Solanum lycopersicum: one gene and its partner. The protein of the gene in region 1 interacts with the protein of each later gene in a pairwise test. Links are inferred from orthologs where the notes say so. Each region holds a gene or a part of one and is shown on either strand. Other genes may lie near its edges.

Region 1 (4,518 bases):
AACAAAGATTTTCACTCCAGCTACATACATATCAGTTAGTCATAACATCAAAAACTGTACCAATGTTACCAAGAGTTCTCAATGGCTTCTGGAATAATAGCTAATCATAAGAAAAGTTCAGCATATTTTGGAGGCATGATGTGGTTTACTCAGGAAAGGTCAAAGGATACAAGATATGTTGGGGTTTACTAAAGGGAGCCCTCCAATCAGGTACCTGTGTTCCTCTTAGTACTAAGAAGATAAAAATCATTCAGTGCTAGCCTCTACAACGTAAGCTAATTGGTAGAATTGGATCTTGGACAAACTGATACAAGGAACATTAAAAAGGCTAACCTTTAAAGGTTGTCAGCCAACAGTGACTTCATTTCAGCAATTAGCATAGCTAATCAGAAAAACTCCAGATTTGTATCACACCTAATAGCAAGTTGACAAAATTCTTCGTTCATGAATGAACATATCATACAAGCTGGCCTAACAAATACATAAATGAGAAATGGATAACAAAGCACTGAACTTTGGAACAAGCGGTGTGCTTCTGGAAACCCATCAACGACGGTATCTGTGACGCTTGAAGTTAAAGTACAAATGCAGAATTCCTCGGTCGAATATGCACTTGAATCCCTTTTTATGGGAGTACTCCCATTCTCTGTTAACAATTCGGAAAGCTATGTCCTCATAAGGAGGGCCAGCATGGAATTTTATGATGCAAGTATCAGCACTATCTCCATCTTTCTCTATGACATAAGTTGGAGCTCTTGCTTTGTCAACAAGATCAGGATAGAAGATATTGAATTTGTATCCCTGCACAATCTTTGGAGGTGGGTTGTCATGATCATAATGAGTTTGATTATACTTGTTCCATTCATAACCAGTATGAACACGGTTGAAATACTTAGGCTTCCTTGGCCTATACTTGTCATGCCACCAGTACACCTGTGAATCAAGATTAATTTCATCATTTGAGCCAAATACTACATCCCCTTCCTCCATTGCTCCCATAGTTTTAGAAGCCTTCTTCTCAAAGTTGTCTTCTGCAGGAGTCGGTGGCAAAATCTTGTCTTGGGCACGTCTCTCTTCCAAAACAGCCATACGTTTCCTCTCGAGTATCGCCCTGTCCTCTTCAGGATCAACTGCTTCTTCTATATCATCCCCGTGCATTAAGACAGGCGAATAAGAACCAGCCTCTTCATCGTCTATTTCTTCTTCCTCCTCCCCCTCCACCTCCTCTTTCTCCTTAACTACCTCATTCAAGATTGGTTCTGGAGAAATGGCTCGAACATCATTTTGCTCATGATCCGTGTCTTCCTCATCAGTCCTCAATGTCTCTTCCACCTCTACATCACGGCTCTCCACTGGTTTCTCAAGATGCTCAAGATGTTCGCGCAGCATTTTAGCGTGAATTTCCCTTAAACAAGCCTTAGCCTTGTAAATCTGAAGCCGTTTAAGAACAGCTTCCCAATATTCTACAACTTTAGCAGTACCAGATCGCATTTGTGATTCAATTTGTGACTGCAATGCTTCTAATTCACCATAACCTTTACCTTGTAACAAAGACTTCACATCTGTTTCAATGCTGGAATGCAAACCCCTCTCTTCTGCTAGCAATTCATGTGGTAACTCCTCTCCGCGTACTCGTGCTTTGTCCATTGCTTCCCTTCTCCTAGCTTCAGCCAACTCCCAGTCACAAACCACCAAAAGGGCTTCCCAATACTGTATATGCAGTGGTGTTTCCCTATCCAAATCAATATGCAATTTTATATCCTCCTGAAGTTCTTCCATCTCTTTTATAGCCAAACCCTTGAACACCACATAGGGCTCGTCTATTTCCACATCGAAATCTCCAGAAGGTTCTAATTGCTTGATAAGAACATCAATAGGCTTAACACGACCTTGACGAAGACGAATTTCAGTCCGGACTTTGCTCTGATCGAAATGAAACTCTTCTTCCTTCTTCTCCCAATCCTGGAACTCAGCCCGGGCCCGTTCTCTAGCTAGCATCTGTAATTCTTCTTCTCGTTGAGCTTTTTCAATTGCTCTTTCTTCTCTCCTTTTCTTCACCTTTTCAATTTCAGCCATTCTTTCTTTCTGCCTTTGCTTCTCTGCCTTCATCGAGAAAGTATCGAGCGGTACCCCTCGAGTAACATCTCGTTCAATTTTTTTCCGCCAGACAAAATTTTCGTTCAGATTCGAATCTCCAAATGGATTTGAATCGTTCGAATAACCAGAAACATTCTGCGTTTTCAGCTTCTTCGCTACTTTCGCTGCCTTCTTCTGTGCTTTTTTAGCCATATACAAAGCAATTTCTTCTTCAGTAATTTTCTTCTTTTTCTTCTTTCGCTCGTCGTCACTACTCTCTTGGTCTGCATAATCATGATTTCTCGATCTGCTACTATGACCTCGACTTTTGCTTCTGCTACTGCTTGAACGGCGGCGGCTGCTACTCGGCGGAGATGAGTCGGATTCGGATTCCGACTCGGTGTGAGAAATTGAATCGGAGTCTGATGCAATATCGTCGGAAGATCGGCGGCGGCGTCTGCCGGACTTTGACGCCGTCTTCCCTTTACTACGACGGTTGCCGGAGGAACCCATTGCGGCGGCGGGATAAGCTAGATATCCAATAATCAGATTGAGATGAATTAAGGTTTTGGGGATTTTTGCTTTTCTTCTTTTTAAATATTTTTTATATATATAAAAGTGGCATATTTGGTCAAGCGGCTAAAATATATTTATTTTGAATTTTATTTTTAAAAAAATAATTGTTGACTAATTAATTTCAAGAATTATCAATGAAAAGTTATTTTTCACTCATATTGGGTTGGAGATCTACAACAAGAAATTTGACTTCAAAGATTAGAAAGTGTATTAGCATATAATTTTATACTAGATTTAAAATTAAGTCAATAATAAATTATTTATATCGTTATATTAATTAATGGCGACAAAAATCAACAAAGGAATAATTATTTGTGCATGTTAAAAATAACTCATCCTTAATTGATATAAGAAATTCTTTCTTCTTCCATTCACTTGTCCTACCAAAGATTTTAATTTAATTGTTCTGTATTTTCGATAACATAAAGCTTAAATTCATTATTAGAAATAACAATTTTATCTTAATCAATCATTAGTTCTCTATGTATTTAATCATATTCAATATTCTTTCGTCCATTTCCGCAAGGGATTTAATCAACATTAATAATATTATTAGTTATCATTTTTATTAGTTATACAAAAGATTGTCATGATATAACATTAATAGCATAACAATAGAGATCATGTACGAGGTGGAATATAATGAAAGAATAGTAATGAAAAGATGAAGAGACTGCACTTAGTTGATATCTACATAAAATAAAATATTTATAACAGTATTCTATATATTTTTTTCTTTGGTATTAATTTGTTTTATATATTTAATATCAATTAAAGATATTTTTTTATGAAAAAGGTGAAAGGATATTTTAATTTATATAAAAAAATATCAATAATTAACTGTTTGACTAAAAGTATATTTATCATCAATAATTTGATCCAAACTTTTTTTTCTAAATAACTACTATTTTTGAAACATGTTTTTTTCTAATATTAATTTTTTTTATTATCAAATACTTATCTTACTAGGGTATTTTTTTTATCATCGTTATCTAAATAAAAATTAATAATAAAATTATTGAATAATATATATATATATATATTAGACATATAATCCGTTAAAATGTATATAATTATTTTATTATGATTGATAAAATGAAATTAAGAAGGAGAAAATTACTTTTTATTTATTTATTTATTTATTAAAGTGATTTAAAAGAAAAAGATAAAAATATTATTCTTTCAAATAATAATTTTATCGGAATAGGATGTGCTTAAAACCTAACAAGGATTGTTATAATGTGTCCTTCATTTTTAATCATAGATTTTAAATATGATTTTCTTACGTATAAAGTCGCTTATTCAATGTCAAATATCGAATGAAAAATTAAACACTATATATTTTAAAAAAGAAAATGAATAACATTTTTATTAAAATGAGGATATTTTTTATTCAAATTAAGCATCTTTAAACCAAATAAAAAAAATATGTTTAATAAGAAAGTAAAGAAAGGTTTATCAGGAAGAATATTTTTTTGACTCATTAAGTACACATTAGTCACTTTTACTTGTCAGATGTAAACTCAATCCTAAAATAAATTTTTATTTTTAATTATCAGTTTTAACATATCAAAAAAGGATTAATAATTTTTTTTATGTTTTATCCTCATTATTAAATAATTATTTTCCAAATCTTTTTCTAAGATATCATTTGATAGAGTATAGTTAAGTAGAATACCTATATCAATAAATTATTTTTTAAATGGGTATGTCAAAGCAAATTGTAGCAACTAAAAGCATAGTTAAAAGGTTTACCCTAATCTCCTTCGACAAAAAATTATATAATTTATATATGATTAAAATAAATTTTAAATATATATAGTAGATATCAAACACTCCTTTTAACTATTTCATGCGTTCATTTTT
Region 2 (4,516 bases), on another chromosome or scaffold:
ATCTTAATTGTTATTTTAACGTAAAAATTTTCTTGGTTCAAAGCGGAGATGACATTTCTCTTCAAAGACACTAGTCTGGTTTTTTTTGTTGTTGTGATGTTTGTCATTGTTCATTCAATTTGTATTACTACATTTGTTGTTGTGCTTATTCTACATCTTGCTATCTGTTGTTTTCATTTTATTATTATTATCATACATCGCCATATTTACTACCTAACTCTACTTGTGTGATTATACTGTCTATGTTGTTGTATTAAAGTAACAATGTGATCACCCCAAATCGACAGTTACAAGAGTCTTTATTGTTACTTAACTATGAATTACTTGATGACGTTGAAGTGATGAAAAAAGCTCAAGATGTTAATTCGAGTTGTTTATTATAAAGTGGTAGTGAACGAATACACATTAAATCAATAGTTCGGATAGGAAATATCATTTTTTAAAATTTGAAAGTTATATGAGGAATGTAATGATGTTACTAATTGAGCAGTGTTAATCATTTTAAAAAATCTCAAAATCATTTGATGTTACTATGCATATTGTAAATAATGTTCTTAACATTTTCAATACTCAAAAATCAAAATCAAATGATAGTCTATTGTGAATTTAATGTAACTAGGCCTGGAAACATGAAAACAAAGGGAAAACAATAGAAAAATATTGAATCTAAATTAGAAAGTACTAGAAAATTTAACGGTAGTTCGTACGAGGAATTAATATCTAAAGCGGCAACTCAAATATATTAATGGCTTAAAGAAAATGTATGGGTCTTACACCTAAATTGTTGATAATGTTTATATAATTATTTTCTTCTAGTTTTCAATTGATAATATGATCAAATTCTTTTAAAATTATATTAATGAGATATACTTTAAACATGTTAAATTTCTTCTATAATTCCTTCATTTTTCATGAAAAGTTACTGTTTTCTACAAATAATATTCAATATTTGTTAAAAATAATAATAACATAGCCTATTATTATTAAAAATGAGGCCCTTAAATTTGAGAGTTTAAATCGCATGTCTTTTTTTAAAATATTGTCGTAGATAAAAATATACAATATTGAGCACTCCAAATTTTCGTTAACATTATATTTTTTCTCACATTATGTCCCGCATTAAAAAAGAGAAGGAAAACGATAATGAGAATTGAAACATTGTGTTAATAATGTAGAATTTCACACCTACATTACTTTCTTAGGCAAATGCACAAGATTTTTGTTCATATTATTGTATACAACGTAAAATTAAATATCAATAAGATAATCTATTACTTTTTTTGTTTTATATTATTTGATTCATATTGACGTGACACAATCTTTAAATTTTTTTTATTAAATAACCTTTGTTAAGTTATATGCAAAGTTCTCAATTTGACTAATTATGTTTTGAGTAGTATAGAAGAAAAATAATAAAAATCCCTCAATTTATTAAAATGAACAAGTAAATAAAATAAAATAGAGAATCCGAGAACATCTTTCATTTCGAAAAATTATGGGGTCACATTTGAGTTTTTACAGTGAAGTTGGAGGCAAACTGTCCAAATAAGAAAAAGACAAGGGCAAAAGTAGAATTTACTGGGAATATCCAATCGAGCTGAAAGAGAACGAAAAAAAGAGAAAAAATAATAAAATCTTCATCCTTCTCCGGCGGTGTACTTGCGAGAGTTTTAGGGGAAAGATGCCGAAGAGGACAACGCACACATACTCTAGCGAAGACGCAGTTACCGACGGTACCAACTCCGATCTCTTCGTGTATTACTGCAAGCACTGCAGTTCTCATGTCCTCATCTCCGGTTCGTACTCTCACCTTTTTCTCTCTATTCTGTAAACAAATTTACTCGCACTGTACTTAAAACGAATGAGCGTTAATTTGGTTGGTTATTTGTTATATTTGTTGAATTTTCAGTTTACAGTACTATGTAAATCGCATTTTTTTTATTGTTGAAAGTTTTACTTCTAGAGATGAGGTGGGATGTTGAGGTTTATGATAATTGGTGTGAAGGAACTAGTTGAATTATGCTAAAATCTGAAAAGTTTGGAGAGTCAACTATGGTCTGGAAGTGATTTAGAGAAGTTCTTCTGAACTATTGAGTCATTATGTTTATAGTAGTAACTAGTAATTGGTTATATGATGGAATGTGATACATGCTACGTTGAACGTTGAGAATTTCTAGTTTCCAGTATTATCCGTTTCTTCAAATTTCGACGTCTAATGGTTTGTCGTCTTTTGCTTCTTGTGCGCGGATTAGATGTGATTAGGTGGTGTATAATTTTTTTCTTGTTATTGGCATGATGGAGAAAAACTTCCTTATGATTATATTAAGAATGAGAGAGGATTTATTGTTACTTTTACTATATTATGGCATTTTTCTCTTCTCTTCTCATTTGAGCCGAGGGTCTTTCGGGAACCGCCTCTTTATCCCACAAAGGCAAGGGTAAGGTCTGTATACATCCTACCCTGCTCAGACCCCACTTGTGGCCCGTTGGATTACACTGGGTATGTTGTTGTTATATATTATGGGGTTACTGCCAATTACAGGGCATTCTCCTTGCTAAAGTATGGTTGTAGATAATCAATTGCAGAAAATGCCAAAAAGGAAAACCGACAAGGCATATGTATTGGATAAAAAAAAGTATCTCGCAAGACTGAGTGTAGATGATGCGGGGAAAGTTCTTCTAAAGCGGTAATCTTTCTGCTCCTGTAAACTTTAGTATATTGATGTTGCTTCCATTAAAAGTATATGCAATCATCTGTAGAAGAATGTACGAAATTACACGTCAAGATTACAAGGTGTTTCAGTTTAAAATGGAATACCTTGCTCTGTTTGTAAGGGAAGCGTTGCTAGATTCTAAGAGTTAAAATGAAGCTCATGTAATCCTTGCAGTAATAAACTTGACCTACAGTGGAATGACATCATCAGAAGAGTTTAAAATAGGTATATCTAAATTATTACTGGAATACATATATGGAATGAACATGGATAACATGCAGACCAAAATATTATTACCATTGGGGAACCACAAAGATGGTGAGTAAAATACAGTCAAATGTCAGTAGGAAAAACTGAACTGAACGTGGACTTAATTACTTTCTGTCTTTGTGATGTACTTTGTCGGTTGGCCTTTTGCAGCTGCTCGTTAACGTAGAGATCTTTAGTTCATGTCTCTTGCTTCAGTGGAAAAGAACTTTATTATTGATGACTGATATGAGTAACAATTTAATATGGAACATTCTTTTGAAACCTTTTGCTTTTGCTTTATAGTGGTGAAGGGAAAATGGAGAAACAGTTTCGGATGTCCTGTAAGGGATGTGGCCTGTTTGTCTGCTATCGGGCAGAAGAAGATCTGGAGACTGCCTCTTTCATATATGTAGTTGATGGGGCACTTAGCACTATTGCGGCTGAGACAAATCCACAGGTATTATATCCTAATGATTTTGCTGTTATTCACTTTCTGGCTGCATTATATAGTTATGCCTACATATTTTCTGTATTTGTAGCAAGCCATAAATATGATTGTTGTCTGCTTTTTTACACTTCTTTTCTGCATTAGCTTGTTAATCTTTCTGTATTCTCTGTCCCTTGCTTGTTTGTAAGATCATGTAAAAAAATCTTATGCTTTATTCGAACACAGAAAATTCCTTATTTTTCTTACTTGTCAAATTATATACATGTTCTTCCAGATACATATATATCTTTAGGAATTAATATTTTCTTGTTTTATGAAGGATGCTCCTGTACCACCATGTATATCACAGTTAGAAGGTGGCCTTGTGCAAGTGGCGATAGAAGTCGAGGACCGTGCCCAGCGGTCAGCAATTACAAGTAAATAATCCTTCAATGATTTTTGGAAGTTAGACACTCTCATTTGCTTCAATTTCTTCAGTGTTGGGAAATGATTTGTCCACCTGAACAATTCTGCAGATGATTAATAATAATAATTCCTACTCTTCTGCTAATTGTAAAAGCTGAAAAATTTAGCGGTTGTACTGTTAACTTATCTATTTTGGCCTTGATGTTGATGTCTCGCTTATTTGACATTTATATTGTTGTAGGAGTGAATGCAGATGATGTTCGGGTCACTGTAACCGCACCTGCAGCTCGTGGGGAAGCTAATAATGAACTTCTGGAATTCATGGGCCGAGTATGCTGAACATTTTTGCCTTTGCCTCTTGGAAAAACTTTCATATTTGAGCTCATTATTTAGATACTTCGCTGGTTGATTCGCTGAACCACTAAGATTTTTTGTTTACGCAGGTACTGGGTCTGAAATTATCTCAGATGACTCTCCAAAGAGGATGGAATAGCAAATCAAAGCTTCTTGTAGTAAGTCAAAATTGACACGTCTAACTTTAGCTGTGTGTTTTCCCCATACGCAATTCTACTGTTTTCTCTGTTAAGTATTTTGGTCAGTTTCCTCTTTGGCTGGATAACCTGTAGATATTCTCTAGTGCTAATTTCGACATCAACAATACATACCATTTTAAAAACGAACTCTTATGTGTTCTCTTGTT

The links.
Region 2: the proteins of splicing factor Cactin (region 1) and UPF0235 protein At5g63440 interact in binary tests that used the Arabidopsis thaliana proteins (3 or more experiments, as listed by UniProt). The link is inferred for Solanum lycopersicum from reciprocal best matches to the Arabidopsis thaliana genes AT1G03910 and AT5G63440.

What each region holds. Positions count from the first base shown.
Region 1 is NC_090809.1:63,797,339-63,801,856, reverse strand, and holds splicing factor Cactin, read right to left. Parts: upstream 2,840-4,518; 5' UTR 2,590-2,839; coding exon 547-2,589; 3' UTR 320-546; downstream 1-319. UniProt on the Arabidopsis thaliana protein: Plays a role in pre-mRNA splicing by facilitating excision of a subset of introns. Required for embryogenesis.
Region 2 is NC_090802.1:58,721,630-58,726,145, forward strand, and holds the start of UPF0235 protein At5g63440, read left to right. Parts: upstream 1-1,585; 5' UTR 1,586-1,681; coding exon 1,682-1,796; exon of another isoform or gene 1,797-2,500; intron 2,501-2,572; coding exon 2,573-2,687; intron 2,688-3,266; coding exon 3,267-3,420; intron 3,421-3,730; coding exon 3,731-3,827; intron 3,828-4,057; coding exon 4,058-4,146; intron 4,147-4,259; coding exon 4,260-4,328; intron 4,329-4,516. UniProt on the Arabidopsis thaliana protein: May play a role during early embryonic development. Probably involved in pre-mRNA splicing.